4 linked regions of the Schizosaccharomyces pombe genome follow. The main gene of each other region encodes a partner of the protein of the gene in region 4 in a complex. Each region holds a gene or a part of one and is shown on either strand. Other genes may lie near its edges.

Region 1 (8,422 bases), on a different chromosome or scaffold from region 4:
AATATATTTTGATGTACGTATCAAATTCCTCAACCGAAAGTGGTGGTGGGTATTGGCGCCCAGTGGTGAATCGTATTTTACTGGGATTAGAATTAGCAAACATAATTCTGTTTTTATGCTTGTGGGTACAGGGAGGTCGTGTTCGCGCTTATTGCATAATTCCAAACTTTTCCTTTGCCATTGCCTTTAAGATATGGTGCATGTTTGCTCTTGATCCAAAATCTCATTACATGATTGAGGATCCATACATGAAGGTTGTGGAGCCCTTGGAAAATGAGATTAGTGAAAGTGAAATGTGCTTTGGTCATCCATCCACCTATGCCCCATTGCTCGTGCCGATGGTTCGATCTGATGCTCGTGCACTTCTTCCCTTGTTTTACAGCGGACGTACGGAAACACATAACAAGTTTGATTTTGCTACTGACTCTGATGATGCTTCTGAGAAGCACTTACGTGGTGAGGAAGAACCATTAGAAAACGTTGATTTTGTTGATATTGATAATGTGGATACAGCCAAAGAAGTGCATGATCAGCAACAAGTTCAGCAACTCAAGAAAAATTTGTCCCGATCTTATACTCGTAGCCGTGGTGTTTCTTTAAGAGCTAGATTGAATGAGGAGGAGCTGCCTTTAACAGAATCTATTACCCAAGATTCTCAAATTAGTATACCAGAAACTCTTGAATCCCAAAGTACGGAAATTACACCAATCAATGTCTCCGAACATTATGATAAATATTACCACATTTTTTAATGGTAACTTAAACTTTTCCTTGGAATTCGAGCTTTTGTACAAAAACTTTATAACTGTTCAAATTTACTTTGGCAAAGATACATATTTGAAAACTTTTTATTTCCTTAATTCTCAACCGATTTTGTTTTGCTTAACATTTGTTTTCTATGCTCCGTTTCTTATTTGTGAGCTCTTGAGAAGAATTTAAGTGTGCTTGTATTCTTTAGGTCTCTTCTCCGACCTTTTTAAATGAAGATGAATCACCTAGATTTTGTTGTGGTGTTTACTTGATTATTTTGCGTTTGATTCATTCATTAATTTGATAGCCATCTGTTTGGTTATCTCTTTTGCGTTGTTTTCTTTCGTTCTCCTTATATTTTCCCTTTGCTTATTGTTGTTTATGTCTGCATACCTTTCTTTTCATCCCATCCCAATTTTTTTTTTTTTTTTTTTTTTTTTTAACATTTCTTGTCATAAGATCATGTTTTTTGTCTTTTCTTATTTCGCACAACTTTTTATACCTTTGCAACAAATGTCATTTTTGTTGAAACGAACATGTGATTTATCGTTCGGCAATAGCTAACTTTATGTTAAAATCAATTCTTCCCAACAAGATTACTTTTCCCACCATAACCTTGTAATTATAACAGATAGTTTGGTACATTTGAATAGATTGCTTTGACAATAATGAGTAGTAGTTTGTTAGAAATGGAGGCGCGCTTGAAGTTTTTTTGTACTTTAACTGTTTAAATAATTAAATAAACAATTAGTTTCAACAAACATCGATTATGTTAAAAAGTCGTAAAAACATGCGTCTACCAGCTGGCAGTTTCGAATCTGCTAGGTATAAATATGCAAGGCATACAACCTTTCTATGTAAAAAATATTATACATAATGTATTAAAGAATGCTAATCAAATAAGAAAAGCTTCGTATGTATTTTGCTTGCTCATAAATAGTCATTTATTTACGATCCTTCGTGCCTTCTACTGACCATTTTGCAGCTTTTATATACCACGATAAACCACGTTAAATAATTTAAATAATAAAGTCATTACTGCAGTATAATTACAGTGCAGAATGGTGTACCCTTTGTAAAATGACACTATTTTGACGTAGGAGAATAGTAGGACTGCGTTAAGCAAGAGCAGTCGAACCAACATCGCCCAATCCATGGTCTGTCGATTTTATTCTTTTACCAAACACGATAGCATTTAATTACACGATCGACAATGTCGGAAACATCAGAACAAATGGAAGAGACTGTGCAATCTGGTAATGAACCCATTTCTAAGTAAGTACCACATATGTTCTTTAATCAAATGTTTACATTTTACTAACATGTTTTTTCCTTATGATAGGAGCACTTGGATGGTATGAATTGTACTGAGTCCTATAAGATTGAAGGCATAATCAATCTGCTTTCAGCCTTATGCAAGGAATCTTACTTTTTTCTTTGACATTGTAACATTTTACTTACTTTTTCTTCAAAAAAGGGGTTCATCAAGAACTTGGCTACATTGTAAGTATATTCAGTTAAAAGAAACAAAATTGGAAATATGGTATCTTGAGAAAAAAAAAAGGTAAATTTGAACACGATGCATTCTTTTCCAACGGGAAATGTTCATTCGATTTTTAGTTTCATTCAAATCTATGTGATTTTTGTAAAAATTTGAAATATAAAAGGAACTTTTTTTAAGCGTAAAATTGCTTATAATTGTCTTATTTCCAGCAATTTGCCCGGCTTTCAAATGGCTGGCTGGTTTAGATAATGAAATAACGCGTCAAAATATGGACAAGTGCTTATTTTTGCTGTTGTTAAATTGTTTTTTACTCATGTTCTTTGCTTGTCATGCCTTTAGCTTTCATATTGATATGTGCTATTGTCCTTTCGAGTCTAACATTAAAGAGGACTTTCCAGCGCCATTTCTTAATTTTCCATCTCATAACTTTCTAGTTTTTTTCTTTTTGTTTTTCAGAGAGGAATTGTCTTTTTCTCATGTCGATTGCTCTTTTTAATCTGTATTTGAATACTAACTTTACTTCACAGTACTGGTGACTTGTCCACACTTTCAGCTCCTTCTTTCATTTTATCAGGGACATCTTTGCTCGAATACATGTCTTATTGGTTTGAGTTTCCTGAGCTATTCGTAACAATTGTCGATTTTCCCACTCCTAAAGAACGTATGCTGGCTGTTCTCAAGTGGTACATAACTGGTCTTAGTCGTGAATACGCATCCCGGAATAAGAACGTACGTCTTTATAAAATTTTATCATGTAATGTTAACCAAAATTTCAGTATGGTACTGAAAAGAAACCGTTGAACCCTATTTTGGGAGAGCTTTTTTATGGGTCATGGGATTCTAGCAAGGGTAAAGTGGAGCTTACTGCCGAGCAAGTATCCCATCACGGACCTGAATCAGCTGCTCATGTGGTTTGTAAGGAAGCCGGTATCACCGTTGATACGCATAATAAATACAGAAGTGGATTTTCAGGACGAACTGTATACGTCAACCAACTCGGCCAGCTTCGTGTTCATCTTGAAAAGTATAATGAGACATATTATATAACTCTGCCCAATATCTCCCTTGAAGGACTGTGGTTTATGGCACCTTATATTGAATTGTACGGTTCGACTTATATTGTTAGCAACACAAATTATATTACAAAGATCGATTATTCCGGCCGAGGTTACTTCAGAGGTACCAAGAATTCTTTCAAGGCTACTATCTTTGAGAAAAATGAAGATCCTGATTATATTGTTGAAGGTGTATGGACTGGCGAATCTAAATTGACTATTCCTAGTCTGAAAAGTACCATTTTTTTCTTAAGCATCCCTAGTCTTGAAGCTACTCCTATTACCGTCAAGCCTGAATCAGAAATGGGAGACTGGGAGTCTCGAAATGTTTGGAAAGAAGTGTCCGCTGCCTTAGCCAGTGGTAATTATGATATTGTAAGCTCGAAAAAGTCTACAATCGAACAATCACAACGTGATATGCGTAAGAAAGAAGAAGCAGAGGGAGCAGTTTGGGCCAGAAGATACTTCAAATGGGAAGAGCATGATAGCGATGCCAGGAATGCTTTAGCCCAAGCTGTTTTAGAAGTTATTGAACCAGGCTTCTGGATTTACATTGGTGACACTCATCCTTCATTGCCAGCAGGAGAACAACCTGTCAAACGGATGGAATAAATTTGTGTTACTTATATTTTTGTTTCTTAAATTTATGTGTGCTTTTCGGGCTGCTATAGTTTTCCGTCCTTAACAGTGTCCTTTTTTCTACTTTTGGGAGGATTGGCCCAAAAGCTCTCTTGGTTGTGCAATCAGGGCTTAAAATAATGCTTGAAAGTATATAGGTATCTTTCGCTCTTTAAACGTTCAACTGAAGTTTTACGATCAACGATTTTACTAAAGGTTCTTTTAACGGTTGGCTTTTAGTACGAAATCAGCACTTTTCATTTAGATTATCTATGCGGTATACTAGTTTATTACTTATATGTCGGTTACACATATGCATGTCAGGGAAAAAGCATTGCAATTTGATCTATACTCATTTCGAGATTTGGTAGTAGATTTTTTTTTTTCATTAAGTGATTTCTCGCTTTCTTTTTCAAGTTTATTTTTACATACTATTTGGTTTGTGATGTTTAGCTTGTATTTAATGCATTAATTGAAAATTACACTGTTCGGTGCATGAATAAATGTAGTGGTGTAGAGTTGGACTGGTTGATGAAATATGGTAATAATACCAAAGTAAATTGCTTCTGGTACAGTTAATAAATTAGCTTATAAGGCTAGTTCACCATTTATAATATTTTGTTACAAACGATTAAGTTGTTAATATTCATTGTTGAACGATTTTAAATCCTTTGAGACAAGTCTTTTATAAATTCAACGGAAGTACAGGAATGATTTGTTAGAATTGTACAACTATTGCAATTGGCTATTAATGAACGTGTTCAGTTCCAATTAAACGAATGAGGAAATCAGGAAAGCAACAAAGCGCATTGCCGTTTCCGAACGGAAAGTCCAAAAATCTAAGCAATAATAGATACACCGATATTAACCTAAATATTTGAAATGAAGCTGTTAATTTGTTTCTAAAAAAATAAGGGTATAACATCAGTAAACGAAATGAAGTTTCAGTATAAAGTGAAGATCCATTTTAACCATAAACGCAAAAGCTAAAAATTACAAAGGCAAAATATTGGTACCAAGATTTCTCATTACCAAACAATTTTAAGTACAAAGCAACAAGTAATTACAAATGGATAGCATCAAATTATGAGCGCTTTCAACTAGCGCATAACCTCAGATAGATAGACACTTTAAAAAATTTAGAAATTAAGATATCACTACGCTAACGATAATGTGGAGAAGGAATTAAAAAAAAAAAGGTGATATTGTAATAAAAAGAATCGTAAAGAAAACAAATATCGCACTCAGCCAAAAAACGTGGTTTTAAAAAAACAGTACGGAAGGGTAAAATCGGTCAAAAATTATGAAATTTAGTTGAGAGAGGTAATTAGCGTGATCACAGAGATAAAGTGTAAAAAAAAATAAAAAATGTGTTAAAGATATCTAGACATTGTGAAGTGGTCGTAAAAAAGAAATGTCATGACTTGAGCAATAACGATTATAGTGAGTTTCAAGAAACGGGTTTTTTAGGAAGCAACTGGAACTAAAAGTGAAAAAAGTAACGTTAGTAAGAATTGATAGATTGATAGAAAGAAGTAAAACAAGTAAATTAGTAGCCAAATCGTAACGAAAACAGGGATGAGATCCTACACTCCATTTCGGAAAGCCGGGCAGTTAGGGAACATGAGAAAAATCACCCGAGCGGTATATCGCAAGCGGGTCGAAAATTTTAGTCAAAAAAGAGAGTTGAAAGAAAGTTTAACGAATTTGGACTAGTCATAAAAATAGATAAAGAGAGCTTGGGCATACCTTTTCAGCTAAAGAGCGGACGGTGTCGGATGGTTGTGCTCCTACACTTATCCAATATTTAAAACGTTCAACGTTGAGCTGGATATCTTTTATACGAGGAATGGAGTCCTGAGAATCAATCTTCTTAGGGATGGGATCAAAAGTGCCGATGGTTTCGATAGGTTTGGCTTGAGGTGCTTTCCTATATTGAGTTAACAAAGTCGAACCAAAAGACAGGAATGGATGAAGGAGAAAAAAAAGGATGTACAGGTGATATGTAAACAGTTAATAGAGGCCAAGGGGGCCAAACCACAATAAATAGTCAATTAATAAGAAAAATTGTGGTTGGTGTCCTTGGCATTTTGAATACTATGTAGAAAGACTAGATTAAATAGATGAGAGCATCCAGGAATACCTGAAAACTAAAGCTTCTAAAAAAGATCGCAATTTAGAGCCAAAGGAACCGTCAAAAAAAAGCAGTCTTTTAGCATTTTATCTTCCATTCTTTCATAACCCACATCAAGCCATCTCCCTTACTAAATCCTGTACAAAAACTTTCCCCTTTACGTGAACCGCTACAAGTGTTGTAAAACACGAAACAACCGTCTAGGTATGTTTTCATCCTACTTACCATGCATTCGCAACTACGATATGGTAAAAAGGTCTATTTCTGACGCCATGACGCGCCAAACGAATTTTTACTACCATTGAGAAGAGCCGGTTTTCAACGAGTCCTACAAATCCCGTCTTTCCCACTTGGTGGTAGGAGTATGGTTAAGAGCAACTTGAGTAAACACGAAGACAATGCAGGTATCAAGGATGGAAAGCAGATGGACGTATCGTATTGTGCACTCCGTTGTTTATAAAATAGCGTTGTGCCTTGCTTTTCGTTCATACTTACAAACAAAACATAATTTCAAAAGATCATTTCAAACGTTTTCTGGGATAGAAATTACGTTCTTTTCCTTCCATTTATCTTTCTACTTCCTGCTGACTCTATTTCTCTTTATAAGCAGTGTGAATTGATCATATTCACTACCCCCGGAGTGAGATACAGCACGAATTACGGTAACACGAATACTACAAAGCGAGCATTCTCCACGTTGTTCAAGGTATGCTTTGCTTGTATCGAGTTTGCTAAACAGGAATACTGTAAGCGATTGTAGAATGCGTATACGAGATACCATAAACGAACGTTACTCATGTAATGCGTAGTTTGCCAACCTTCTTTTCACCACGCAATCCTTATAACGTAATGTTAATCGCTATAGACATTCCTTAGCTTAAGCGGCTTCGTCTACTTTTAGCTTTTTCCTCCCTCCCATAAATTCTACTTAGCGACAGCAAAACATAACTTAAGACTCGCGTAGATTGCGCATCCCTGTTGAATATTTAACTCCATCCGTTCTTGAAAATTTCTAGTGATCAAGAAAGCTATTGATTGAATCTTAGAGGGTTTTTGTTGCTTTCGTACGAATCGTTGTTTGGGGAGTTCGGTTAATTGGTATTTTGAGATTTCCCAACACCTAGGCTTCTTTTAGTTAGCATTTTGATCTTGTTCTGAATTGCCCATTCTTTTGGTGTTGTTACGAATTGCTGGATCCACTGACATTGATTTTTGCCATCGTACTCCCGGTTACTGTCAAGTCAGTGTGTTGTGTCGACGGATTCAAGCAAAATAGGAACATCGGATTGAAACGTTTCTTTGGACATCGCTTTGTGGATGAACGGTGCTAGGTTTTAGGCTAGTAGCAGTTTTAAGACTCATTACATATCGGAACACCTGAAGATTTGACGTTTACATCCTGCCTTGCGTCAGTTTCTACTCCTTTCTTCTCCGTCATCATATAATTGCTGTCAATTCCTTATAACGCAGCTTGGGGGCCAATTTTTACTATATTCCCCTTTATATATTTAGTTTTTATAAGTTTTTCTTCTTTCATTGTTTATCCTGTCAAGCTTGTTCATCTTGTCTCGTTTACTTGGTTAGTTCGTGAACGAGTGCGTTCTTGGGGTCGCTTACCTTGAAGATTCCTGTTCAACCCGGTTTCATAATAATTCAACTTGAAAGAGGAAAAACCTAATTTTTTGTTGTTTTATACTTTCCTTCGCTCAAAGACAACTACTATAGGCGTTTTCTTGGGTTCCAATTTTATTTGCTTTCCTACTACAATTTCCACCCATTCTATCTTTCCTTTAGTTTTCGCTTCCTCTCCTTTTTTGAAATAATCCCGCTTTTCTTCTAATTTCTCGTTTATTAAACGGTGTATTGTTAAATTTTTTTTTGCGGTTAGCGTTTCATCAACAAGAAGTTCGGAAATTCGAATTCTCTCCATTACTACTGAGTGTTTTTTCTTTTTTCTTTTTTTAATCTTTCTCTTTTTGTCTTGGAAACTTTTCATTCTTTAAATACCTATAAATACCTTTCGTTCTCCTTGACTCATATCCAAAACGACTGTTTGGTATTCGCTTCGCTATGTGTCCTTCCCAACACTCGTCGCTCAAGGATATTCATCGTCAACTCGAAAACACTGCGATTTCCAATCCCACTGAAAACGCTGATCCATCCAGTTATGTGGATGGCTCAAATATCATGGATTTCAAGCACCCATCCATAGTTTCGTCTTCAGCATCTTCTTCATACCCTATAAGCCACGTGCCCTCTGTAGGAACTCGTGGTATACCACGATCTTACTCTATGGCGTCTGCGTATCCATATCAAGTCAATTCCAATTCAATGGACGCTTCTACTGCCTTCAATCTTAAC
Region 2 (8,081 bases), 1.9 Mb from region 4:
ATAAAAGTCTTTTTTGGATCAAACCCAACAGCAATAATATCCTTAGCATTCTCACGAGCAAATCGTTGGCAATCCTCTAAGGAAACACCTTGCTTAAACAAGAACTTCTCATCGTCCGTTAACTGGATGACCAATGGCACTTGAAAAACATCCTGAAGCCACTTGCAAAACATAAAAGGAATCATATGGCCTAAATGCATGCTGTCACTACTTGGTCCTCTACCTGTATACAAATAGAAAGGTTTCTTCTGCTCATAGCGGTCCAAAATCATATCAAAATCACGATGGGAGAAGAAAGCACCTCTACGAAGTAATAAATGAGGCTTCTTTCCAGTTAGCTTTTCGAAGCGCTCAAGTTGTTCAGGAGTAATTTTCCTAGTGCCAAATTGAACGATTAAGCGCTCATAATCGATTCCTTTCTCTTCACCATCGACTATAGAGCCTTTTACATCCCAGGGCGTCACAATTTGTTCCTCAACAGACATTTTTCCTCTTCAAAAAGAAACTGTTCAAGGCGCACTACGTTCGCAGAAAATTTTGTTGCTTGGCGGAGGAAGTGGTAAATCAGACAAAAGCGATGACTAACTTATCGCCAACAAATTCGGTAACTTCATAATTTCTTTAAAAAATTTCTGTTAGTACTGCTGATTCCTTTATAAAAATGTATTCATTATAACTGTTTCTGGGTGCTTAAATTAGTTGAGATAGAGCGTTCGAAAAACTAGCGCAGTTGTAGTGTCTCTAATTAAAGCCGATACGAAAACTTAAATAAGAATTTGAATAAATGTATTACAAAAAATATGATTAAATATAAACTGATATATTAGATTAGTGGGACCGCTGCCATCAATAGTAAAGCTATCATAAACAACTTTTGCAAACTCACAATTCTATTTTTATATATAAACCCATGTCCAGCACAAGTGTTGTTTTTTAGAGACAGAAAAGCTTTTCAAAGTCACTGCATTGCTTCCATTGCTATCTGATCCATATTTTTAGGAACAGTCAAATCTTGAAGGTTTGAGAAAACAAGAGATGATTCATAAAAATTGGTGATTGAGGCTTGAGTCAGAGGGAGAGAGCGACTAGCCAACCCTTTAATGCAAATGGATACACGAGATATATTTAATCTGGTATACCCATCAATCTCATCGTTTTCGTTAGAATATATGGATTCTGAGGCTTCCTCCTCCAATCTGGTAATACTCACTGACGAATGTTGATTTTCATTATGTTTAGAAACCCATACATATCCATTTACACTAAGAATAATGTCGACTCCACCTGCTAGAGCATAAGCATGTGATTTTGATCGAACGACCAACGCAGGAGGAACCTTAAGAAAAACACCATTTCTGAGTTTTCCATATTTTAAAGAACGTGTATGAATTGATACAGAACCATCGGAAAAGTACTGTTGAACTTCCGCAACTAAGAGATCGCCTTCTTGGAAAAAGCTACGCATCTGAAGCTCATCAGTCTCTAGTTTTCGTCTTTGAATGCCACCAGGAAGATTAATAGAAGAGAGCATAAGCACAGCATTCTGTTTGGCACCAATATCCACTTTCCAGCGTTTTGGTTGGACTTCAGCAATTTTCCCAATGATTAAATCACCAATTTCGGGAACGTACTTAGAACGAAGAGGTTTCACGGATATCAATTTATTGACCCTTTGTACAGATCCCGCAACAGATGCATATATTCCTCCATCCTCGAAATACGTTCCATGACCGCGCATAAATTGAGGATCATCAGTCACTAGTTGTCCGGGTGTAACTAAATTTTGATGTATCGATTTATCAAATTCCTCTAAAACGTCTTCTCCGTCTACAAGACCCATCTGTTCATCCTCCATTATTTCATCCTCCATTTCAGTCATGGAAACATCGTTTACGATGTCAGCTTCACTAGAAACATAGAATTCTTCAGGTTTTAAAATTGTAACCATTTTTAAGTATTTCGTTTGAATTCGACAAAAGAAGATACTGGGACAAACCACGACTTAGAATTCTTAGAAACTACAAAACTAATAACTACCCTTTCCACAAATCAAGATTAGTCGGGTTATGTTGGATAATTAGCTATAGCCACTAAATTTAAACCAAATCTGGTCTCCTGTAATGCTTTTACACTAGTGTTTATGCAAAAGTGAAATTTACACTGATTCATAAAGCTAAAGAATTTTAAACCGCTAAAGTAACGCGTTGCTCCTCGTAAAATATCTAAAGGTAAAATGATGATGGGTTAGTAAATTTGAAATATTCGATGGATTAAATAAGAAGCTGGGGAAAAATTATGCAAAAACTATTAATAAGAAGAAAGAATTGTCATTAAAATCAAATTGTATACATTAGTCAACCTTGGTCAGAAGAGGTCTGATGAAAGCTATGAATCAACGAAGAAAAAATGGAAATAATGCTTTATTCTTCAATAATTATCAATATTCAAACTTAATAAACGGCTAAGTTTACAAATTATAAAGCCATTAACACTTTCAACACTTTTTTAAATTTTATTTTATCAGGGCAGATTTACGATACTTCATGAATTGTTAATAGTCAATTAATTTCAACAAAATTTTTAATTAATTATTTTAAATTATCCATGTCAATTCCATCACAATGTCAAGCCAAATTGTATTAAAGCAATATTGCAATGGAATAAATTAATAAAATATCGTTGTCTGAAGATTTCTGTAATAGGTTATTTATTCAATTATTTTATAATTTTTTTTTTTTTTTTTTTTTTTTTACAAATGACTCATGTAAACATTAACAGTCTAATATTACTGTCTACAGATTGTTATATGCATTGACTTCCATTCGTGTTGAGTACTCTAAAATACTCAGCTCCTTAACATTTTTGCAAAGAACAAGTTATGTGGGTCAAGGTATTTAGTTTTTACTTAACTTAAAAGTAATACAATACAAACATTGTAAACATCACGGTTAAAGAACCCAATTAAGCACTATTTCACGTTCATAATAATATAGTTAAATAAAAAATACAGATTTTTTAAATCAAGTTCAATAAAAGATTATTTCGTAAAAAATTTTTTATTTTACTTTGATAGGCTTGAATTAACACATACAGGGAATAATAATGACTAGACGCTGAGCAGATGACTTGCCATCACTCTGTTTACCCCATTTTCTTAAAAACATTGCGTCTTTTTCTTATATTTAAATCATTCTTAAATGGAGTTTCCTGTTTTCTCATGAAACTTACAATTGAATCGAACTTCTTTTAATTATTTACTAAATAGCGCTAGTAATGAAAGTGCAATATTATCTAGCTGCGCATTGTAGTATCTTGTTTGACTTCTGTGAGTTTTCATTGTGATCGGTAATATCATATTATATATAGGTGTGATGTGGGTAGCAATTTGTTGTAAGTATTTATACATGGGTTACGTTGTTACCTGCCATTAATTAACATATAAACGAACCTGTTTCTGTTCAGATGTACTCTGTTTATAATCTTTTGGAGTAAACATGATCAAACACAAACAAGTACTCAAAAGAATAGTTATCAGCAATTATTAGTAAACGAATCTTAAATCTATCCTAACAGATGACATATAGTGATACGCAGCGTAACGTAGTGTAGTCTTGCTTACGAAAATCAAAATATAAGGATAACTAACACACTTTTTAAACAGCGAATGCCAAAAAAGGATGGGAAGCAAGTGCTATTAAATTCCTAAGAAAAAAAAAAGCTTGAAAGTATTATTAGGTGTTTTTATTCAATAGATGTTATAAATGCAATTGAGTAGAATCGATGCTATTTTACGTTACTAACCTTCATTCCAGTCTATTATGTGGTTTTTACTGGTTCTAACTACTAAGATTTAGTGTGTTATAATTATATACAACGAAGTCAAGTCAAGGACAACAATGTTTATACATTCTTCACTATCCCCTTCAAGTACCTTTTTGTAGCTTATTTAATTGTTTTGAGCATTTGGATTGTTAAATTTTAGAAAAAAAGTTTTTGTTAGATTCAGATTTCCATTTATAACGGCCACTCTTTTCGTTTCAAAGAAAATATAAAATCCGGTATCATACACTACTGCGCATTCGTTAAATGTGGTTTATTTTTTTTTATAATACAAATATTACATATATTTAGTGTTTTGGGTGGTTATAAAATGGCTTTTAATCCCCTTTTATCTTTATTGAAAGCAGATGCCATATTCCTCGGGCAACTTTCCAAATCAAGCTTTTGTGCTACTAGTAGAGCTTTCTCTGTTTTCTATTTTACAAGATTTAAGCGAAGTGCTTATGTGTCAGCGCCTTTTGGAATCGAGCCTCATGACGAGAAGGAATTGAAAACAATTGATGATAACGTCCATTCCAATAATCTATCATGGCAGAAAATACAAGAGCACGAGGTCATACGTGAATTGTATAGGAAAGCTGCTTATGAGCTTCCTGGACTTACGCGTAAGTTTACTGGGTAGTTTTACCTTAGGAATTCTATTTCACAATCACTTTAATATGCTTAATGTTCCATTTTCTCTGACAATTATAGCTTACACACAGTCTTTTAAAAAGCCTGCTGATAGCCAGATCTTTAGGTTTGAATCTGATGTCCAAATGTCTTCGTTTGAGAAAATGAATCCGAAGGTCGTTGTTACATTTAAAGTTACGAATATTCCTTTGCTAGAGGAGAAACAACGACATGTATTACGATTATTGGTTGGACCAAGATATAATCCGGAGGAGGATTTAGTCAGAATATCTTCCGACAAGTATTCTTCTGCACTACAAAATAAATATCATCTTATAAAGATATTAACTTCGCTCATTGAAGAATCGAAGAGAAATGCTGAAAAATTTTCACATGTCCCATTGAATACTGGCCATTGGAAATACAAGAAGTGTGATAAACGGATGCCACAGGAATGGCTCGCAGACGCAACTACACTCACTTCTAAAAAGAAAACAACGATTGGCAAGCAATCACATAATACAGTACTTGAACGAGAATCGATAGCAACTACAGATGAATAATATGAAAGGAAAGTTTGTTTAAGTTACTATTAAAATTAACGAGTCTATAATGTAAGCTAATATTGAAGGAATTAATCCTTCTCATTACTATATTAAGATGAAATAAAACTGTAGTATAAAAGGTACTGTTTCTCTAATCATAAATTTCTAACGGAGGGATTTTGTCAATACTACTGAGCCAATTTCTTGCGTTTGATTCGGTAGACATCCATTTTAATGGAAGTTCTACCAACTGTCCCCGAATGCCACGTAGTAAGTCGTAAACTACACGTTTGTCAGGAACTTGTAAACCATTATTAGTACGGGTTTTTGGTTTCTCTGTCTTCGAATCTTCACTTGCACTCGTGTTACCACTACCTTGGGAACCAGCCTTTGGATTTTTTGGATCATTCTCTGACTTTTCATGAGTTTCGTGTAGATTTGACAACTCCTCCTGACGCCAGCGGGCTTGCTCTTCTTTAAAGCGTTTTCCATATTTTTTCCACTCATTATATGATTCCCACGTTAGCATCTCGTCATCCGGTACACATCGAAATATGTGCCGATAAATAGTAGTATTGTTTGAAGCCACTTTAGACCATATGTCTTCAAAAAATTCATCGCAGACGGGGTCCTCAAAGCTTGAAGCGTCAAATTTAGGAATTGTTTCTCCACTAATAGGATTCACCTCAAGCAATGGTATATCATCATAAAACACAAGTCCATTTCCACAGTGTGGACGACTGGGTTCAGGCACTAGATGATCAGGGTCTTTAAGTACCATTGGACGTTGATCCTCCCCACATTGAGAGAACTTGGAAAGTTCATATAATGAGTCCTCCTTTGTTTTCAGTGATAAGGGGATGCCGCCTACTAGGGCGTTGGCTATAACATCAGGCCCTTTTTTAGACTTCTCGTAGTTCTTTTCAAACTCGACCTTGTCCTTTTGAGTTTTAATATTGAATTCAATCGAAGAAGGAATTAAACTGACACGTTGATCTAGTTTCTTCATACTCTTTTCAGCTTTTCGTAAGATGTCTGGAGTAGTGGTAAATTGACTCTGAGAACGATATTTCATTTTCAACTCTTCAGCAGTGTAAGCAGAACCATTAATGGCATTGCCTTCATCAGGAGTCCAGACTTCTACACGTTTCCACTCTGTATCGCGATCCAAGCCATCCATGTTGTATTCTCGTTGTTCAAGCACATCGGTCTCTAAACCTAAGTGCTCCCTCATAAGTCGTTTCCGAAGAGTGTGTGCAAATTTTCCAACTTTATAGGGCTTACCGTCCATCTTGGAGTCAATGGTTAGAGTATCTCTAATTACCGCAGCAATTTCAGAATCGCGGTTACCAAGCAAAGAACGTTCATTAATGTTTGCGGAACCAATGACCGCAACTCGATCGTCTGCAATAAGAATTTTAGCATGAACATAGATCATTTCAGTCACAAGTTCATGGTTTTCTCCCAAATGGGCCCAACCGCGCAAACCATAAAAACGCAAGTACTTGCTGCCATCAATACCCTTGGCATTTAACCTTCCAAATATTGAATGTTCACCATGGCAAATGCTGCGATATTGACATTCCACAATCAACCTAAGACTACCGCCCTCTTGTAAATCTATCTGACCTTCAAAACCGGGAAGCAACGGAATCATTATAACACCACGCCATTTTTCATTATTTTTGTGAGCCCTTATAATCCTCTCAACTAAAGCATCTCCAACACGATTTTCTATCGTCGTACCTTCACAAGTGGTAGAGGTTACGAAAAATTGATTTTCAATATAAATAAAATGTTCGCTCTTTTCTATGCACGTAACATAAGCATTCTGAATACTTTGCTCAACAGTATCAACTAAACCTAAAGACCATAGTCCGGCAGATCTCAGGACTTGTACTTCGCAGGTACCGGTCAATTGGCTATCAGTTAATTGGTCTGTGGTAAAATCAGGAGGAGGAATTAGCAAAGGTGTTTTCCGGGCAGGCTTCTTGCATTGAATAAGATAATTCCATCGCTGAACAAAGTGTCGCGCAGCATCTCGAGCAGGTTGACCAATGATGCACATAGAGACATCATGCCAACCCATACGAGGTACCGCCAATCGGTCATACATATCTTTGTAAGGTTCAGTAAGGTCAAAAAAATCATGAACGCGAGCATTTGAATAATCTTTTCCCCTCCAAGTTTGCTCGCATAAACCAGTTTTATCAGCAACAGGCTTGTCATCATACAGAATATGTTGAGGAGTATCATACCTGCCGAAACAAAGATCAATACCACCAATAAAAGTTATAGCATCATCCACTACCACAAGCTTCTCATGATGAGCCCAAAAGAGTGCGTTTTGGCGAAAGTGAGAAGGAGAGCGGATAACATAAATATTCGGATGTAGAGATTGAAGATGTTCCTTAGTATGGAATGAGTCTATGGGTATGGTAGCGTCAATATTGCGATAGATCATTATGTACACCATGACTCCTTCATGTGCCTTTTCATTAAGGATACGATCAATTCTCCACTTGTGAGCCATACTATAAGGTCGTCGCATTTGCAATTCAGGACTTAACCACCATCCATGAATCATAATACAGCGCTTTGCATTCTTTATAGCCCTGCTAACATTCCACATATGATCCCTTGCATCTACCATCCATTGAACAGCAACGTTAGTTCTAACAGGTGCAAAGCTGTCGAACCTATGTATTTCACACCAAGCAGTTAATCCTTGAGCAACTTGAACGCTGTTGATAAATTGTTGCAACCAACGACCACTTCGCACTGATAATTTCATTACTTTCTGCCGATTTTTAATTTTAAAAGAGTGATGGGAAAGACGAATTTTTTCATTAGTGTCTTTTGAATGTGCCTTTCGAAAGTTTTTACGCGTAATTTCAAAGTCGACATCCCATATAAATACATCTGCTGGCTGCATTGAAAGCATATTATCACACAATATTATACAACTTTCAGAAACGATTATCCAAAACGGTTGACTCCTAGTTTTCATCATAGTAGTATTACAGCACAACATATATTGAGTAGGAGAATAATTTCGTTTCAAGGTCGCGAATCCTTCTTTGC
Region 3 (8,124 bases), on a different chromosome or scaffold from region 4:
AATATGAATTCACTGTAACATTTAGGGTGATGATTTGATACAGAAGAACCAATGTATGTAAAACCATGTACGCTAGAGAAATTGCAAAATAATAGAAAAATGTCATCCAGCCAGCTGGATTCCAAAAATTGAAAGAAAGAATATGATTAGAGAACAAACAGTCAAGAACATCCTGACCCAAAGCGCAACACAATCTGTCCGCAATTTCTAAGACATTATACAAAACATAAAATCGTATACTAGCCTGAGCACGTATAATATGGTAAAGCCGACTAACGTCAATTTTTCGAATGAGAATACTAGTAGAGAATATTAAAAGAAGTTTTAAGAGATCAATTTTTCGGCTCCTAGGTAATGATCGGTTTGGTGAGCTATTACGATGGAAAAAAGTTGAAAATAAACCCTGAAAAATGCAACGGCTTAGGGTAAAAAAAGATATTAAGACCCGAATGGGAAATAATGTAAAAATATAAAGGAAGCTGTCGACACTAACAAACCATCCAAATAAAAATGTCTTTTCAATTGCATATGGTGTAGCCAGAAAGTTTTCAACATGCTTTTCTTTAATAGGATTTGCGGGCACAGTATCATTAGCCAAAAGCTCAAAGCATATGTAATTCCAAAAGTTTTGAATTTGAAGTTTACTCGCCCGTAATCTGGAAATGGGTTTGTCTTGGTTGCCAGTTACTGTGGGCTGATCATTCGTTTTACTAAAGAATGTCGTAGAATAGGACCTAGTAATAGGAATAACGTTTTTCTTAGCACTAGTAGAAGCTGATCTTCTAGGATATTCACTTGAAGAACTTCGTTTTGTCAGTGCATATCGGGATTTCGGAAGAGGAACAGCAAGAACAGGCTCGTTTAGATCAGGTTCTTCTTTCTCTGGTATAACGGATTCATTGTCTTTTCCTCCGTCACGTTTATTTGGAAGAAAACGAGAGGTTAACGATGATTCATTTTCGGATTCAAGTGGGTCAGCTTGTCCAGGTGAGGTATTGCTACCCATGGTTTTTTAGCTTTTTTAGGTAAGGTTAAAAGGAGATTATGGGGATTTGGATTTGTGGAGATGTTTCAGCTAAGAAAATGTGTTGATTCCAGTGTAGTGAAGTTTTAATCGAAATAAGAACGATATTTCATGAATTGTGTAATAATCGTTCGTTTGTTTAGAACCAAAAACACATAATTTTATTTTCAAGTCTTGATACTGTTTCCGAGTCTCTTCAATTTACATTCAACCTTGACTGCCAGATACCAAAGTTATATAATCTTACCACAATGTTGGTTAAAGTAAGTACAGGCAAAGATACCAAAAAAGACACAAATCAGTTGAATTATTGCGAATAAAAATTATTTATTCTCTAAATAATGTTGATGTTGAATTGTTGACATAGGTTACTTTAAGATATTTTCAGACTGCGAGTTTAAAAACAAAATCGATTGACATCGGTATATTTTCTATTGGACCTACGTAAATGAATAAATTACTATAAAAAACATTTCATCTCATTCAAGTCTTAAACTGATCCCATCACTTTATTAAAAGTAAAATCTTCTTATTTTTTTCATTCACGACACTGTGTTTATACGAATTGTTTTATAGGGAATTTTGGCAGTGATTATAACTCAATTTGTAGTTACGTATAAAAGTGTTCTATTCTTTAACAACTTCGAATGTTTGCCTGTTTCTTCTATTTTTTGTATGATAAAATACCACTTTTCGGTAAAATGAATAGTATTGTTGGGTCTTGCTGCTTTAAAAGGGTTAACCATTTAAAGCGTATTTAAGAACTTCGCATTTAAAATATGCCAAAGTATATTAATTGAGAATATGTATAAAAGATGTAAAGGTAATAAATATTACGCATTATGGTAAAAATTGAATTAAGTTGTACTATGGTTCTTACTGTATTTAATTATCTATGACTGTCTGGGAGAAAAACCTTGCAAGTGGCCTAAACTTTTTCATTCAGTCTCTATTAAATGATCTGTCGATTTCTCCACATAAAGTTAGTTTATTGAAATGCTAGCGGGAAACATGGAACAGGCGAATGTTTTTCGTTTAGAAGAAAAACGCTATAAATGTCGTGCCGACACAATTCCTGACATGTCTGAGGTCCTTGATCCTAATGATCCCCAGTCTTTTGGATTTGAAGCTTTAGTTGAAATTAAACCTAGAGTTTTTTCTTTTCAAAAAGCTCCTGGATTATTAATTCTTAAAAACTATGTTTCATCGGAACTGCAAATGCAGCTGTTAAAATCTATAATGTTTACGCAAATTCAAGATCCTGAAAACAAGACCAACCTTTCACCATTTTATCAACTACCATTAGGTAATGATAGCATATGGCGCAGATATTACAATGGTGATGGAGAAAGTATCATTGACGGCCTTGGAGAAACTAAGCCTTTGACGGTTGACAGACTAGTTCATAAAAAGCTTCGATGGGTTACACTAGGTGAACAGTATGACTGGACGACGAAGGAGTATCCTGATCCTTCCAAATCTCCTGGGTTTCCCAAAGATTTAGGTGACTTTGTTGAAAAGGTTGTTAAAGAGAGCACAGATTTTTTACATTGGAAAGCTGAAGCTGCAATCGTAAATTTTTATTCTCCTGGTGACACATTGAGTGCACATATCGATGAATCTGAAGAGGATTTGACACTTCCATTAATTTCTCTCTCAATGGGTTTGGATTGCATATATTTGATCGGTACCGAGTCGAGGTCGGAAAAGCCTTCAGCTTTACGTTTACACAGTGGAGACGTTGTAATTATGACTGGAACTTCTAGAAAGGCTTTCCATGGTAAGCATTGTTCATTCAAATACCTCATTTATAGTCAATTGATTGCTTACTAACTTACCGCAGCTGTTCCTAAGATTATACCCAACTCTACGCCTAATTACCTATTGACTGGAAACAAGGCTTGGGATGGATGGATTTCAAGAAAGCGAGTGAACTTCAATGTTAGACAGGTTAGGCCTTCTAGATAATGTAAATATGGTTATTTTTAATAAAATAGAAATTGTTTTTAGGGCTTAGGAATGATTGATACCATAATTACATATATATCATGTGCTTACTTGTTTTGTCAATATTTTGTTCCTTCTATTGAACTTTCGAAAAATAATTTTTTTATTTAACACTGTATTAAACCACCAAACAATAAGAAACAATTTTTTCTTTAATTTGTCAGTTAATAACTTTCGGCGTAATATAACCAGAACAATTCATTAGCGTACTTTCACAAATTAATTTGACAAATTAAACAATTGTGTAATCCCATTCTTAAAAAAACATAAACCTCGACATTTCCAAGCTTGTTTAGAGAATTATCGTGAAATTACTATCTTGCAGTCCGGAGTTTACTCAATATATTTCAGTTGCTTATTTCCATACAACTACTAACTAGCGAATTCGGTACAAAGCATTTGTCAATTTGAAAAATGAGGGAGGATTTGTTAAGAAACTCCGTTGAATTTTTAAGAGAAAAAACTGTATTAGATGCTCCTGATGTGAAAAAGATTGAATTTCTAAAATCCAAAGGTTTAACTGCCGAAGAAATTCAAGAAGCATTCAAGCTAGCAAAAAATCCGCTATTCCCTTCTTATCCTCGATTTGAAAACACTAGTAATTTTGTTTCAAGAGATTGGAGAGATTGGTTTATTATGGGCGTTATTTCGACTGGATTTGCATGGTCGGCGTATTCATTAGTAAAGGTACGTTCAAAAAACTGAACATTTAAAATATTCGTGCTGTTTTAACATAATTAAATTTAGAAATACATAGCACCAATGTTTCGCGCACCATCTCAAAACGCTTATGAAGCTGATAAAAACGCTTTGGATGCTAAATTTCTAGAAGCTCATAAAATACTCGAAAATTTAGATGAACAAACAAGAAAGCTTTCCGAGAGAACTGAAAAACAGCAAGATGAATTGGACATTGCGTTAGATGATTTAGAAGAGACGTTGAATACTTTGAAGCGTACGTCCGAAAACCGAGATCGTGAAATAGCTAGAATCTCACAAGATGTATATACCATGAGTACTATTACTTTACCACAAAGTCTTGAGCAAATTAAGAAATCTCAAGAAGAAGCATTACAAAACCTTTCGAGAGAAATTAGCTCTCTACGATGTTTACAAACTGATTCAAAAAAAGACGACACTTTCGCTACCACATCAAACTCTTCGATACCAGTATTAGAGAATCCTTTAGATACTTCAGAAGGTTTTCAAACTAAAAAGGTTGGTACTGCCTCCCTTCCAGATTGGCAAATATCAATGCATAACGAGGCTTCTAAAAACATTGATTTCAATGATATTGATCCCGCAGAGTCTTACGTTGCAGAAGATGCTTATTGACAGTAATAAAACAAATCACTAATAACAATTAAATTCAGGATTTTTTCTAGAATAATACTTAATGTCATTTAACTGGTCTGTCAAGACGCATCTTAATCATTTAACAATCTGCATTCTGCATCAGCTAATAAATGTATATTATATAATAAAGGAGAGTCAAGTAGATATAATAAAAAGCAAGTTTGCTGCAAGGTTAAATGTAGTATCTTACATCACAATCTCACCAACCAAACCAACCTTTATTTCTTTATGAGGAAGTACAAGGCAATTTTGAACGCGTACTTCATCATGGACTATACAATCGGCGCCCATAACAGTAATAGCTTGGACTTTAACGCTGTTACGCATAATCGTAGTGGAGTGCTGGCTTGGAAGAGTTGGAGAACCTTCGACTCGAGACCATTTACCAATCTTGCAATGGCGGGAAAGAATGGAATGTAAAACAACAGCATTGGCAGAAATTTCGCAATCCTCTTGAATAATTGAGTTTCGAATACGTGCGCCATCCTCGATGCGAACACGAGCACCAATTGAAACATTGGGTCCAATCTTTGCACCTTTGCTAACAATAGCATTAGGATGAATAAAAACCGGCTGAATGATCTCAGCCTCAGTGTCGGGTTTTGGAAGAGTACCATCATGATATGCCTTTTGTAAATACAAGGAATTAGCAGGAACAGCAGAGCCAGCGGTTTTTATTTGACGCCAGAACTCAGGAGTATTATAAGCATAAATGGCTTTAGAGGAATCTGAGCACAATGGAGCAAGCACATCGGTCTCCAAACTGAGGTAGTCTTCCATTCCTTCATCCAAGGACCTGAGTTGCTTCTCGACCTCCTCAAGTCTACGCTCGTACGCTTTTTTGATTTCATCGAATATAGAGGCATCAAAGATATAAATACCACATGAAATAATATTTGAAAGATAGGAGCTTGGCTTATCAACATAATGAAGTACACGCCCAGTACTTGGTTCCTCTACAAGGCAACCGAAGTTAGAAGCATCTTCTTTACTAACCTTAGTAGCCATTAAAGTAACTAAAGCTTTCTTCTCGTGATGAACGTTTAACAATTCTTGTAAGGGAAAACTGCAACACACATCCGCATGCATAACAAAAACATTAGAAGTATGTCCTTTAAGGATTTGATCACGGAAATGGTATAAGCCGCCACCAGTTCCTAAGCAGTTGTATTCACGGAGATACTTGATACGATTGAAACTGGGGAAATGCGAAGCTACTTCGTTGATAAAATCTTTGAAAACGCTTTCATCGTAGAAACCAACCAAAAAGACATCTTTAACACTTTCAATCTTGGATAAAGCCGCCAAATGATGGTAAATCATTTCTCGTCCTCCAATTTTAAACAAAGGCTAATTTAGTTAGCAAAATAGCTCTTATGTTTCAAATGCAACTAGAAAGTAAAACTGGATTACGTATTTTACCAACATATAAATTCTAAATAAGACGTACTTTAGGGACATCAAACGAAAGAGGGCGGAATCGGGTACCACTGCAAAGTAATTAGTTACTGATATTCACGCGTTTAATAGACTTATTTTTCGTTGGTACGTACCGAGATGGACCCCCGACCAGAATGACAGCAGAGGAAATCATAATAGCAATTTAATACTAAAAAATCAATAATGAGTATCAAAATCACCAAAAACGAAAGAGATATACGCCTCTTGAAACTTGGTGTGTGGTTCTGTGCAAGTCCTGTCCAGCTCTCCTTTGTTTAATAAGGAAGGTAGCGCTATGAGCTAACTTCTGCCAGTTCATATTTGCACTTAATAGCCTGGCTGCAGAAGATAATACTCTATGTAACAATGAAATACTAATGTAAATCAATTTAGTTCAAAAACCCATGATCTAAAAATTGTGCTGCAGGCTGAGGCACTTTGCCAGCCGTGAGGAACTTAATGCTCATCATCAGCTGTTTTGCAGAAAATAGTAAAGCACCTTCTAGCTTTGGTACAAATTATAATGCATTAAAACTTAAATAAATAAAATTTACTAATTGAATTTTCGAGTAAAAGTAGCCTTTTTAAAAATTTGTTCTCTTTAATCACCTTTATGAATTTACCATCAACTTCACGCACTACGCTGGAAGATTGGACTCTCGTGACAAAGACTTAATTGCTCATGAAGGGGAAATTTAGGTTCTCTTTAAAGCGCGGTGTATGTTATATATGAAATTATTGATTTTTTCGCTTTTATTAATACATATCTAGCTTTTGCGTCCGTCGTGGAACAAATACAATATATACAACATTGCAAGAAAACAACTACCTGCTCTGAATAATAGAACTTTATATCAAAAAAAATGGAATGCGAAGAAGGAAACAAGGTCTTATCATGGTCCTCAATTACGCGAATATCAACTGAAAAATGCCTTCCGCCCAAAATTGGAGGGGGTTATTTCTTCCTTAGATAATAAGCTTCCCATCCCTTTTATGAATCAGACTTATGCATTTTTGGAATCCCGTTTAGACATGTCTATTCATCGAGCGTTATTTGCGTCTAGCGCTTTACAGGCTCGCCAACTGGTGCTTCATGGAAAAGTGCACGTAAACGGAAAACCTGAACGCCGTGCCTATCGTCAACTCTTACCTGGTGATTTAGTAACTGTTGATCAAAAATCAGTAATGAATTGTGTTTCTGCCTCTAGTAACAATACCCCTTCTATACAGGATGGGAAGCAAACTGAACAGGTGTCCTCTAAGGATGGAGAAAATGAAAAAAAAAAGGATAATGATGATGATTTATTTGAACAGACTTCTAATGGAAAGTTGCCCTCTATCAATGAAACAATTTCCAACTTTGTTCCTAAACCGTTTATGTCACTAATGGCATTTATCCCTGCTTATTTAGAAGTTTGCTTCCGCACTTGTTCCTTTGTTTATGTGCGTGATCCAGTTGCTCGTCCTGGCTTAACGGAAGTTCCTTCTCCATTTCCTGAAGACTTGCACGCTTTAGCCTATACATACTATATCAGAAGTCGTAATATGCGGCAAGGAGCAGCTAGATGTCAGGCCAGACGGCTTATTCCGCAGAAAGTACGCGATGCATCATTTTATCAAGGACCTCCTGAATTATATAAAAAACGAAATGTTTCTCCCAAAGAAGCATTCTCTCATCGGTATCCAGTTCGTCAAGGAAAGTTGACGAAACTCGTATAAATCGAATAAATGAACTCCTCTCAAAAGTTTAGTAATAAAATATAAAACATTCTCAATTATGCTTTTTGTAATACTATGTTGATTTCCACTTTTGTTTTCCTGCTCTATGAAGTAACTGCCCTGTCTACTGCTATCCACGTAACCAAATCTTATACACATACAAGAACTGGCACATCTTTTTTCATGTACCAAAAGGAGGCCTTTTATCGTGGACGTAGCTCAACAAGACAATTTAACAATACCCGATCTCCATCTGGACGTTCAGCGTCGCGTTCTTCCAATTTCTCACATCGGTCTAGTAGTCGTGATTCTTTTTCCTCGAATAGATCTTACTCGAGTTCGCTTTCCAGATCTCCAGAAGAACCATTGCGAACAGTACGTTTTCCATGTATAATTAGTTATTTAAGGCATACTAATCGTTTCTAATACGATGCAAAATAGATTCTTGTGGAAAATTTGACGCGTAATGTCACTAAAGAACATATAGCAGAAATATTTGGGATTTATGGACTAATTGATCATATTTTCATGCCAATTTATAAAAAATGTGAGTGAGCTTTTATTTTTTATGAATTACA
Region 4 (7,989 bases):
CCTTACGTTGGCCTACTTCAAATGTCTAATCTATCGTTCTTTCAGACTTTAAGCGGGCTTGCGGAAAATGCAAAGCAGATAGCAAAAAGCTCGAGTCTTTCTTTCGAAGAAAATGAGCTTTCCCACTCCGATTTATTACGCCTCTTGAACTCCAACTCTGATGCTGGCAAATTAGAGGCGATTAACTTCATTTTAGCTCAAATGATGCACGGCGAAAATATGTCGTTATACTTCCCAGATGTTGTGAAGTTAGTTGCTTCAGAAAATCCGGAAATACGACGCCTGGTCCATATTTATTTACTCCAGTATGCTGAGTTCAATCCAGATCTTGCTTTGCTGTCTGTTAATACTGTTCAAAAAACACTGTATGATAAAAACCCGTTAACTAGATCTACCGCAATTAGAGTTATGAGCAGTATCAGGGTGCCTGCCATTAATGGAATCGTTCTTTTAGCAATTCAGCAATGCATTACTGATACAGCTGATCGCGTTCGCCAAAGTGCGGCATTGGCAATTACAAAGTGCTATTCTCTTGACCCTTCATATAAATCGCAATTGGAAGAGCACATCAAAACGCTTTTATCTGATAATAGTCCTATTGTAGTCCCAGCTGCATTATTTACTTTTGAAGTCGTTTGTCCTGAGAAATTAGAAATTATTCATCCATATTATCATAGGATATGTACTCTTTTCCCGCAAATGAATGACTGGGACAAAGTAGTGGCTTTGAAAACATTGGTTAGATATGCCAGACTTACATTACCCGAGCCTTCAACTCCTTCAACACATTCAGATTTAAAGGAACTACTTGAGTCAATAAAGTCTTGCTTTTTCTCTCTTCTTCCGAGTACTATTATAGCAGGTGCTCGTGCTTTTTACTATCTAGCTCCTTCAAATCAAATGCACTTAATCGTTGAACCATTGTTGCAGCTTTTGCTCGAAAAGCCAATTGTTAGGACGACAACTTTACGATATATTTCTCAAATTGTATATAAAACACCGGTAAGTATATATCATTGCCCTGTATTTAAACGACTCTAACATGATATTAGGAATTATTTAAAAACCATATAAAGAGTTTCTTTCTAATTGCTTCTGACAGTGACGATACGTGCCTTTTAAAAATCAACATATTGTCGCGTTTATTGGATGCTCAAAATTCATCGCAAATCCTTCCCGAATTATTGTATTACATTAACAGTCATCCGAATCCTTCTGTTGCATCAACGGCGGTAAAGGCATTGGGTGATTTTGCTAGTGCTAACATTTCTATGGCCCCCTCTTGTCTTAACACTTTATTGCTGTTACTTAAATCACATAATAGCCTTATCGTGACAGAAGCTGCCTCTTCACTTCGGCTTCTCATTCATAATGATCCTAAAGAAATATATCTGCAGTATTTAGCTGCAACGTATGAAACTTTGGAAGTACCGCGGGCCAAATCCGTTACACTATGGCTTATTTCGGAGCATATACTAATCATACCGCGACTAGTCCCTGATGTGCTACGCATTGCTGTTAAAACTTTTGCTGATGAGACATTAGAAGTGAAGTATCAAATTCTCGAATTATCGGTAAGACTATATGTTTTGTCTCATTCTGAAGAGAAGCAAAACGATTTAGAGTCAAGAGATGATGTCGTGTCACTACTTTTTAATTATGTTTTATCTTTGATACACTTTGACATGAGTTACGATTTACGAGATAGAGCTAGGTTTTACAAAGAACTAGCTAGTACACCGAGTTCTGAATTTACTAGGCGCATCGTATTGGAAAGCAAGGGGAATAGTCAAAAAGAAATTATTGCTTCTCGGGACTACTGCATTGGTACCGCTAGTTTATGTTTGAATGAAGACGTGATGGGATATGAGCCAATCCCTAACTGGGCTGATGTCTCTGATTTACCGCCTGATTCTGTCCGAGAAGGTATCAAGGATGTTTTGCCAATAAACCCTCATACGGGAAATATTTATTCAAACAATTCACCGGGTGTGAAAGCATTATCTTCTGATAACTTTAAACGTGATTTTGGAGATACTAACGCAATTAACCGTCCAAAATTTGTTGGCCAGCAAACGCTTGAAGAATTTTATGCTAGTGAAACTTCTGAAAGTTCTGAAGGAGAATATGAAACATCAACCAGTGAAAGTGAAGATGAAGAAACGGATGATACTTCTCAAGAGGAAGACAACGAAAAAAATAGTACACCTGATGAAGATACAGAGAACAACAATACCAGTTCTATATCTACTAAAAGTATAATGGATAGGCCGCTCACAGAACCTGAACCTAACTATTGGCAATCATAAACAATTGATAATGTAAATATTCAGTTTTGGAATGTAATCATGCAAATAATTGTACTTCATTTAAACGGCGAATAAATATTAGCTAATAATAAACATGATGGATTCACGGAAGATAATTAAAGCTTTTTATTTCAATAACGCTTATCATGGATTGAAATACAAACAACGATTATTACCATGATGCCTTGCTGAATGGATTAGTGACAAAAGTAAAAATGCTTATTCTTACCGAACTCCGGGTAATTTATTAGCTAGTGCTTTAAGTCGAAAAGGAAACTGAAATAGTCAGCATCAAAAATGCATTTATATGACATTATAATCGTACCCTTGCAAGTCCAAACGCACGAAATACACCTCGGCCTCTACCTGTCTCAATACAGCGATTTTTTATTTTTGTAGGATGTGCATTAGTCGGTAAAGCCTCAATCCGCTTTTTGGCTTCTAAACGCACCCGAAGAGGTAGCTCAGGATTTCTATATATATAGAGATTGCTTTGACGTTCAACTTCGTGTTCAGCAAAAAGTCTCCTACATAATAAATCACGAAATGCTTTATGCTTCAGGTGGCCCAAAGCCCTCATATTTTTTATTTCTGGTTTAGAAGGCTTCTCTGTTGTGTTCAAATTGTGAGTGTATTCTCAGTAGATGAAATAGTCAAAATAAATTACGAACTGCGCTAGCGATCTGTATAATTATAGTTATTTTAATAACTATAAACAATGTGAATAAGAGAAACAAAGTAAATTAGATAATTTCTACCAAATAGTGTCACATTGTTTTTATATTAAGTATTTTTAATCGTAACCCGTTCTTTATATAAATATGGTCTTGCGTTTATATTAATTGCTTATTAACTTAATATATATAGTGGAATAAAAAATAATAAATACCGTAATTATCACTTTGAAGCACTGAGGAAATATTGAACATTTACAACATTAAATAGGAGTGCTTCAAATAATATAAATTTCATATGTATGCAGTAAAAGAATCTGCATAAGATTTTACATGGATGAAGCTTTTTGATGAGCGATTTCATGACTTTAACTTTGGAGCTGCAAAGTTGGATTCCAAAGCATGAACATAGATATTACCAGCGGCTTCTTCTTGAGCACAAGTGGCAATTGCAAGCATGCTTCCGTCAACATTAAAAGAAATAGATGATATATTGATCTTTGAAGGATTTAACACTCTTAATCGTTTTCGGACTTGTATATCCCAAAACGCAACAACGCCATCTCCCCCAGCAGTTGCCAATGTTTGATGAATCGGATGAAATTTTAGGTCGTTAACTGGATAAACAATATCGTAGTCCTTTTGTATCTGCCGATGGCATTTAAAGGTAAAATTTTTGCTTTGCGCTTCCTGAGACGGGTTAATATATTCAACAGATGTCCTTCCCTCAATGCTGGAAGAAACGAATCCCTCAAAATTTTGGTTACAGCAAACACTTCGAGTCATATACTTAAAACTAGAAGGACGTCGCTGAAATGGAAGTTTTAAATTTCGAATATCGTACACCAAATTTTCTCTTTCTGAACAGCCTAGAACCAATATATTATCTCTCGAGCTACTTGCAAAAATTTTTTTTCCTATATCCTGTCCCTCGACAGGTTGCTTTACGCGAACATCCCAAACACGAAATGATTTGTCCCAAGACCCACTAATGAAACAGTCTAAAATGTTAATAGAATAGCTGGCTAATAAAATATATATCTTACTTTCCAAACGCAACTTAGAAATGCACGATACCCCCTTACCGTGGTTTCCTAAAAACTCATGGTTTCGCGTATTAAGATCGAGGGTAGTAACTGTCCCATCTAAATTTCCTACTAAAGCAGTTTTTTCATCTGTATATTCTAAAGAAAGAATAGGACTTGATAAATCGTATTTCCCTAAAAGTTCGGGATTTTCCGAGATTTGATAATGCAGTAAGCTACCATCCCAGCACCCTGCAATTAGTTCGTTTTTGACAGAGGGTGAAAATATTACACTTGAAATCCCGTCTTTTGAATTTTTTAGTAATGTTTTTGAGAAATTCATGGCAGACTGACAGATGACATGAAAAAGGAGTTTGGCGAGGTATAGGCCTTTAAATGTTGCTTCAAAAGGACAACGTCGAAGTTCGATGGTAATTGACCGAATTTTACGAAGATGAATTTCCAACGATGCCGATTATATTAGGTGTTAAACATAAATACTTACGTTTTCATACGCGCAAATTACTGTTTCAGCTTCTTTTCAACAAATTTTGACAGTCTGTGCCTCACAAGTATCTAAGATAAGCGAAGCGAATTGCTAATAGCTGTGTAAAATAAATTGCAAAGGAGCTGATTCTGACAGTTTAAATATGATGTAACAACCGTTATATAAGACATAACTATGAATACGTTTCAACACAACTACGTTCTACTAAATACCACTCTAAAGCGATGAAAAAAAATCATAAAAGAAAGAAATGCACATAACTCTACATACTCATACAAAAAACTGAAAGGCAATAGTAGATGTCAGTCAACTTTGACAAGTGAATGTACTACTGTAAAAATAATTTGAGCGTCGACGAGAAAATTTGCCTAGTTGATAAAGCAGAAAGAAGATTTAAATAGAAAATAAAGCTTAGAGTTTAGGTGACATGTGCAAAATCCCTTAATAGCCGACACAAAACTCACCAGGTTTGGCAACAATATGGGTTTCAACTGCTTGACGCTCAACTGTGCGACGTAAAACGTTCTTCAAAATCTCGACAGCATCAGGAGTGATCTGAATATGAAACACGATACGAGGTCCCATTAAAATGATTCCAGACTTTTTGGCTTCATCGCAAAGAATAGCAACGTTGATATTGGCCAATGTCACCATGTTACTTTGAGTGGGAACTTCAAGCTCAATTCCAAGAGATTCTGCGTATTCGGCGACTTCAATAGCATATTTATGGACCTGCTTCAACAAAGGAAAGTTATGCTGAATTGAGTATAATCCTGCAGCAGCAAGCATACCAGATTGTCTCAATCCACCACCATAAGCCTTACGGAACCATTTGGCTTTAGCAATAAAGTCTCGTGGTCCCACAATAATGCTACCAACAGGAGCCGCAAGACCTTTGCTTAGGCAAAGACTAACGGAATCAAAGTAAGAGCAGTACTCCTTAATTGAAACGTTGGAAGCAACAGCAGCATCCCATAAGCGAGCACCGTCGCAATGCAGGGGGATCTTGTGAGCCTTAGCTAAACCAGATATACGAGCCACTTCATCCAATGGAACGACAGCACCTTTAATAGTATTTTCTAAACAAATCAACCCAGTGGGTGAAAAGTGAATATCATTTCCCAGGATAAGCTTGTTCTCAATTTCCTCGGCAGTAATATATACATTATTTTTTGGAGAAATAGGACGAACAATAGCTTGCGTAAACAAACCAATTGCACCCGCTTCCCAGTTATAAATATGGGCGCGATCATCACAAATGATACTATGAGGAGGTTGATGCAAATGACTACGAATACACAACTGATTACCTTGAGTACCAGATGTTACGAACAAAGCAGCTTCCTTACCAGTCAACTTTGCAACATAAACTTCCAACTTTCTAGTATCCTCATCTTCCTCATAAACGCAATCACCATCAGAGGCCTCATACATGATGCGACGCATTTCATCGGTAGGAACAGTCAAAGTGTCACTACGGAAATCATTCCAAGGACGATACTTTTTAGCGCTCCCTTGGTTGGAAGGGCATAATCTTGTTTCGGTAGTCGTAGAAGTAACGGATCCGCTCATATTTTTTTTTTATCAAAAAGGAATTGACGAAACTAAATTTAAACACCTGCAAGCTAAGTTTGACCGCAAGACACAAAAATTGTTTTCAATGTAAAATAAACAACAAAAATATATTTATTTTACAGATCTAATAAATCGTTGAAGATCAGCAGTTCAACGAGAAAAAAAACAAAAAATTTTTTAGACTGTTGAAGCCCAAAACCAAAAGAATCTTTAACGAAATTTAACAGTTAAATTTTTTCCTTATCCAGAAATTATCTTTTGATAAAGTAAAGATGCAGTTGAAGGCACTTTCTCTTTAAAATCTGGGCGTTTTTAAATAAAAAAAAAGCGACTTTTTACAATAGTAAGAAAATCGCAAATCACAACCTTTTCAGTTTGAAGATAAGTAACTAGTACTTTTTTTTCAAAATATCAATTATAAATAAAACTTATAAATTGATAATTATACAAAAATACCAAATTGTTGGTGTTGGTGCCACAACTGGGAGATGGTTAAGGTTAACTTTCAAACCATTCCAAAAAATTTACCACTTTAATGGATAACGGAATAAACTGCCAAAATGTTGTGAGCGCCCGGAGTAAGAAATTAGATCCGCCAGGATATAGCAGGCTTTATAATTTGGCAACACATATAATCGCAAAATAATCAAAAAATATCATTTTTCTCTAGCCATATAGTAACCATATATTCTCGAACTATAATTTTATTACTAAGCATCGAACCCAACAAAATTATGCCTTTTTATCAAATGTATACAAATTTTGAGATCAGCATTGTTTATTCTTTTACTATAAAATTATTAATTTAGCGTGAAATAGCTTTCGAAGCAAGATGCAATTTACATTTTTCAAGTTTGCCATTTCGCCGTGATCCTCATCAGTAATTTGTCGGTGAAGGCAAAATTCTGGATTGCTTAGGAAATGAGCAATTTGTACATGTTTATAAAATTCTGTTAACCGAAGCCCGCTTGAAAAAGTTACAATTATAACAGTGGAAGTTTTGCACCTGTAGATAACTTATCGATATCGTTAGATACTTTGAGGCTATTCGGTGAATAATGCCCGCATTCTTTTAGCTGGTTTTTCAGTTTGATAATTAACGAGCGCCGGAAATTTCAAATTTTTCAAGTAAATTGAGTTGGATAGGATTTGAAGGATCACGAAGCTATATTTTAAGGAGTTCTCATCTCCATAAATTACTAAGTACATTGTAAAATGCCGGTTTATAATAAGCCTTGAAATCAATCATACTTAGTAACTGCATTTTGAATGCTAAAATAGAAATATTTTCTTCTTACTGCTGAAGCGGTTTCCGTTAAAAATTGTTCAGATAGTTGCGTTCGCGCTATTTAAAGCAACCTTTATAAATATATTCAAAGCTTGGCAAGATTCTCTTTCGAGCCTTAGCGGAAACTTTGATTTCTAATTGCTCAACTTAATAAAATCGTAAAAAGATCTTATAATTCATTTTTTGCCTTGCAATTGTCGCAAGGGGTCATAGCTCAGTGGTTAGAGTGAGGGATTGCAGATCCCCAGGTCACTGGTTCAAATCCGGTTGGTCCCTTGTTTTTTTCTTATAGAAATTAGATTTTTTCACAAAAAATCAGAAGATTTGTGACAGTTTCAGCTTTTCGACAAAAGTATGTAACTAAGAACAATCATTTTCTAGATGCTTTCTTTTGACTTGAAAACTTGAGTTATCCGAATAAAGTAGAGTGATATTCTAAGAAGGATAGCCCTCGATATATGCGTGTAACAGTCTCAAATGTTCTCTGGCTTATAATATAAGATCGTCAATTTACCATTCGTACCCATAGACCCACCTTATATTCATTCAATTACTACAAATTCTTTTGTTGTATCCATTAACTAACGTAACTTTTTATTAGGAAAAAACA

Evidence for each region.
Region 1: mrp2 (region 4) and mrps16 share a complex: the UniProt entries of both Schizosaccharomyces pombe proteins name them as parts of the mitochondrial small ribosomal subunit.
Region 2: mrp2 (region 4) and rsm24 share a complex: the UniProt entries of both Schizosaccharomyces pombe proteins name them as parts of the mitochondrial small ribosomal subunit.
Region 3: mrp2 (region 4) and nam9 share a complex: the UniProt entries of both Schizosaccharomyces pombe proteins name them as parts of the mitochondrial small ribosomal subunit.

Annotation. Positions count from the first base shown.
Region 1 is NC_003423.3:553,834-562,255, reverse strand, and holds mrps16 (mitochondrial ribosomal protein subunit S16), read right to left. Parts: upstream 6,432-8,422; 5' UTR 6,364-6,431; coding exon 6,287-6,363; exon of another isoform or gene 5,858-6,286; coding exon 5,677-5,857; intron 5,411-5,676; coding exon 5,378-5,410; 3' UTR 5,008-5,377; downstream 1-5,007. Other genes in the region: Ca(2+) transporter Rsn1, read left to right, coding at 1-752; osh42 (oxysterol binding protein), read left to right, coding at 1,964-2,025, 2,093-2,105, 2,228-2,253, 2,782-2,983, 3,031-3,921; sre2 (membrane-tethered transcription factor), read left to right, coding at 8,132-8,422. UniProt on the Schizosaccharomyces pombe protein: Component of the mitochondrial ribosome (mitoribosome), a dedicated translation machinery responsible for the synthesis of mitochondrial genome-encoded proteins, including at least some of the essential transmembrane subunits of the mitochondrial respiratory chain.
Region 2 is NC_003424.3:560,020-568,100, forward strand, and holds rsm24 (mitochondrial 37S ribosomal protein mS35), read left to right. Parts: upstream 1-3,906; 5' UTR 3,907-4,150; coding exon 4,151-4,445; intron 4,446-4,454; exon of another isoform or gene 4,455-4,533; coding exon 4,534-5,015; 3' UTR 5,016-5,054; downstream 5,055-8,081. Other genes in the region: tryptophan-tRNA ligase Wrs1, read right to left, coding at 1-485; exosome subunit Rrp4, read right to left, coding at 959-1,948; phospholipase D Pld1, read right to left, coding at 5,149-8,081. UniProt on the Schizosaccharomyces pombe protein: Component of the mitochondrial ribosome (mitoribosome), a dedicated translation machinery responsible for the synthesis of mitochondrial genome-encoded proteins, including at least some of the essential transmembrane subunits of the mitochondrial respiratory chain.
Region 3 is NC_003423.3:3,727,674-3,735,797, reverse strand, and holds nam9 (mitochondrial 37S ribosomal protein uS4m), read left to right. Parts: upstream 1-6,448; 5' UTR 6,449-6,509; coding exon 6,510-6,545; intron 6,546-6,598; coding exon 6,599-7,546; 3' UTR 7,547-7,603; downstream 7,604-8,124. Other genes in the region: SPOM_SPBC13G1.05 (folding protein), read right to left, coding at 1-1,006; abh1 (alpha-ketoglutarate-dependent dioxygenase), read left to right, coding at 2,036-2,804, 2,868-2,992; protein Pex14, read left to right, coding at 3,446-3,718, 3,779-4,366; mpg2 (mannose-1-phosphate guanyltransferase), read right to left, coding at 4,574-5,737, 5,838-5,877, 5,941-5,981; rns1 (putative RNA-binding protein), read left to right, coding at 7,730-7,921, 7,988-8,093. UniProt on the Schizosaccharomyces pombe protein: Component of the mitochondrial ribosome (mitoribosome), a dedicated translation machinery responsible for the synthesis of mitochondrial genome-encoded proteins, including at least some of the essential transmembrane subunits of the mitochondrial respiratory chain.
Region 4 is NC_003424.3:2,502,956-2,510,944, forward strand, and holds mrp2 (mitochondrial 37S ribosomal protein uS14m), read right to left. Parts: upstream 2,930-7,989; 5' UTR 2,890-2,929; coding exon 2,635-2,889; exon of another isoform or gene 2,586-2,634; coding exon 2,539-2,585; exon of another isoform or gene 2,498-2,538; coding exon 2,482-2,497; 3' UTR 2,310-2,481; downstream 1-2,309. Other genes in the region: AP-3 adaptor complex subunit Apl6, read left to right, coding at 22-1,002, 1,053-2,309; mitotic spindle checkpoint WD repeat protein Bub3, read right to left, coding at 3,344-3,984, 4,030-4,351; threonine aldolase Gly1, read right to left, coding at 4,958-6,088. UniProt on the Schizosaccharomyces pombe protein: Component of the mitochondrial ribosome (mitoribosome), a dedicated translation machinery responsible for the synthesis of mitochondrial genome-encoded proteins, including at least some of the essential transmembrane subunits of the mitochondrial respiratory chain.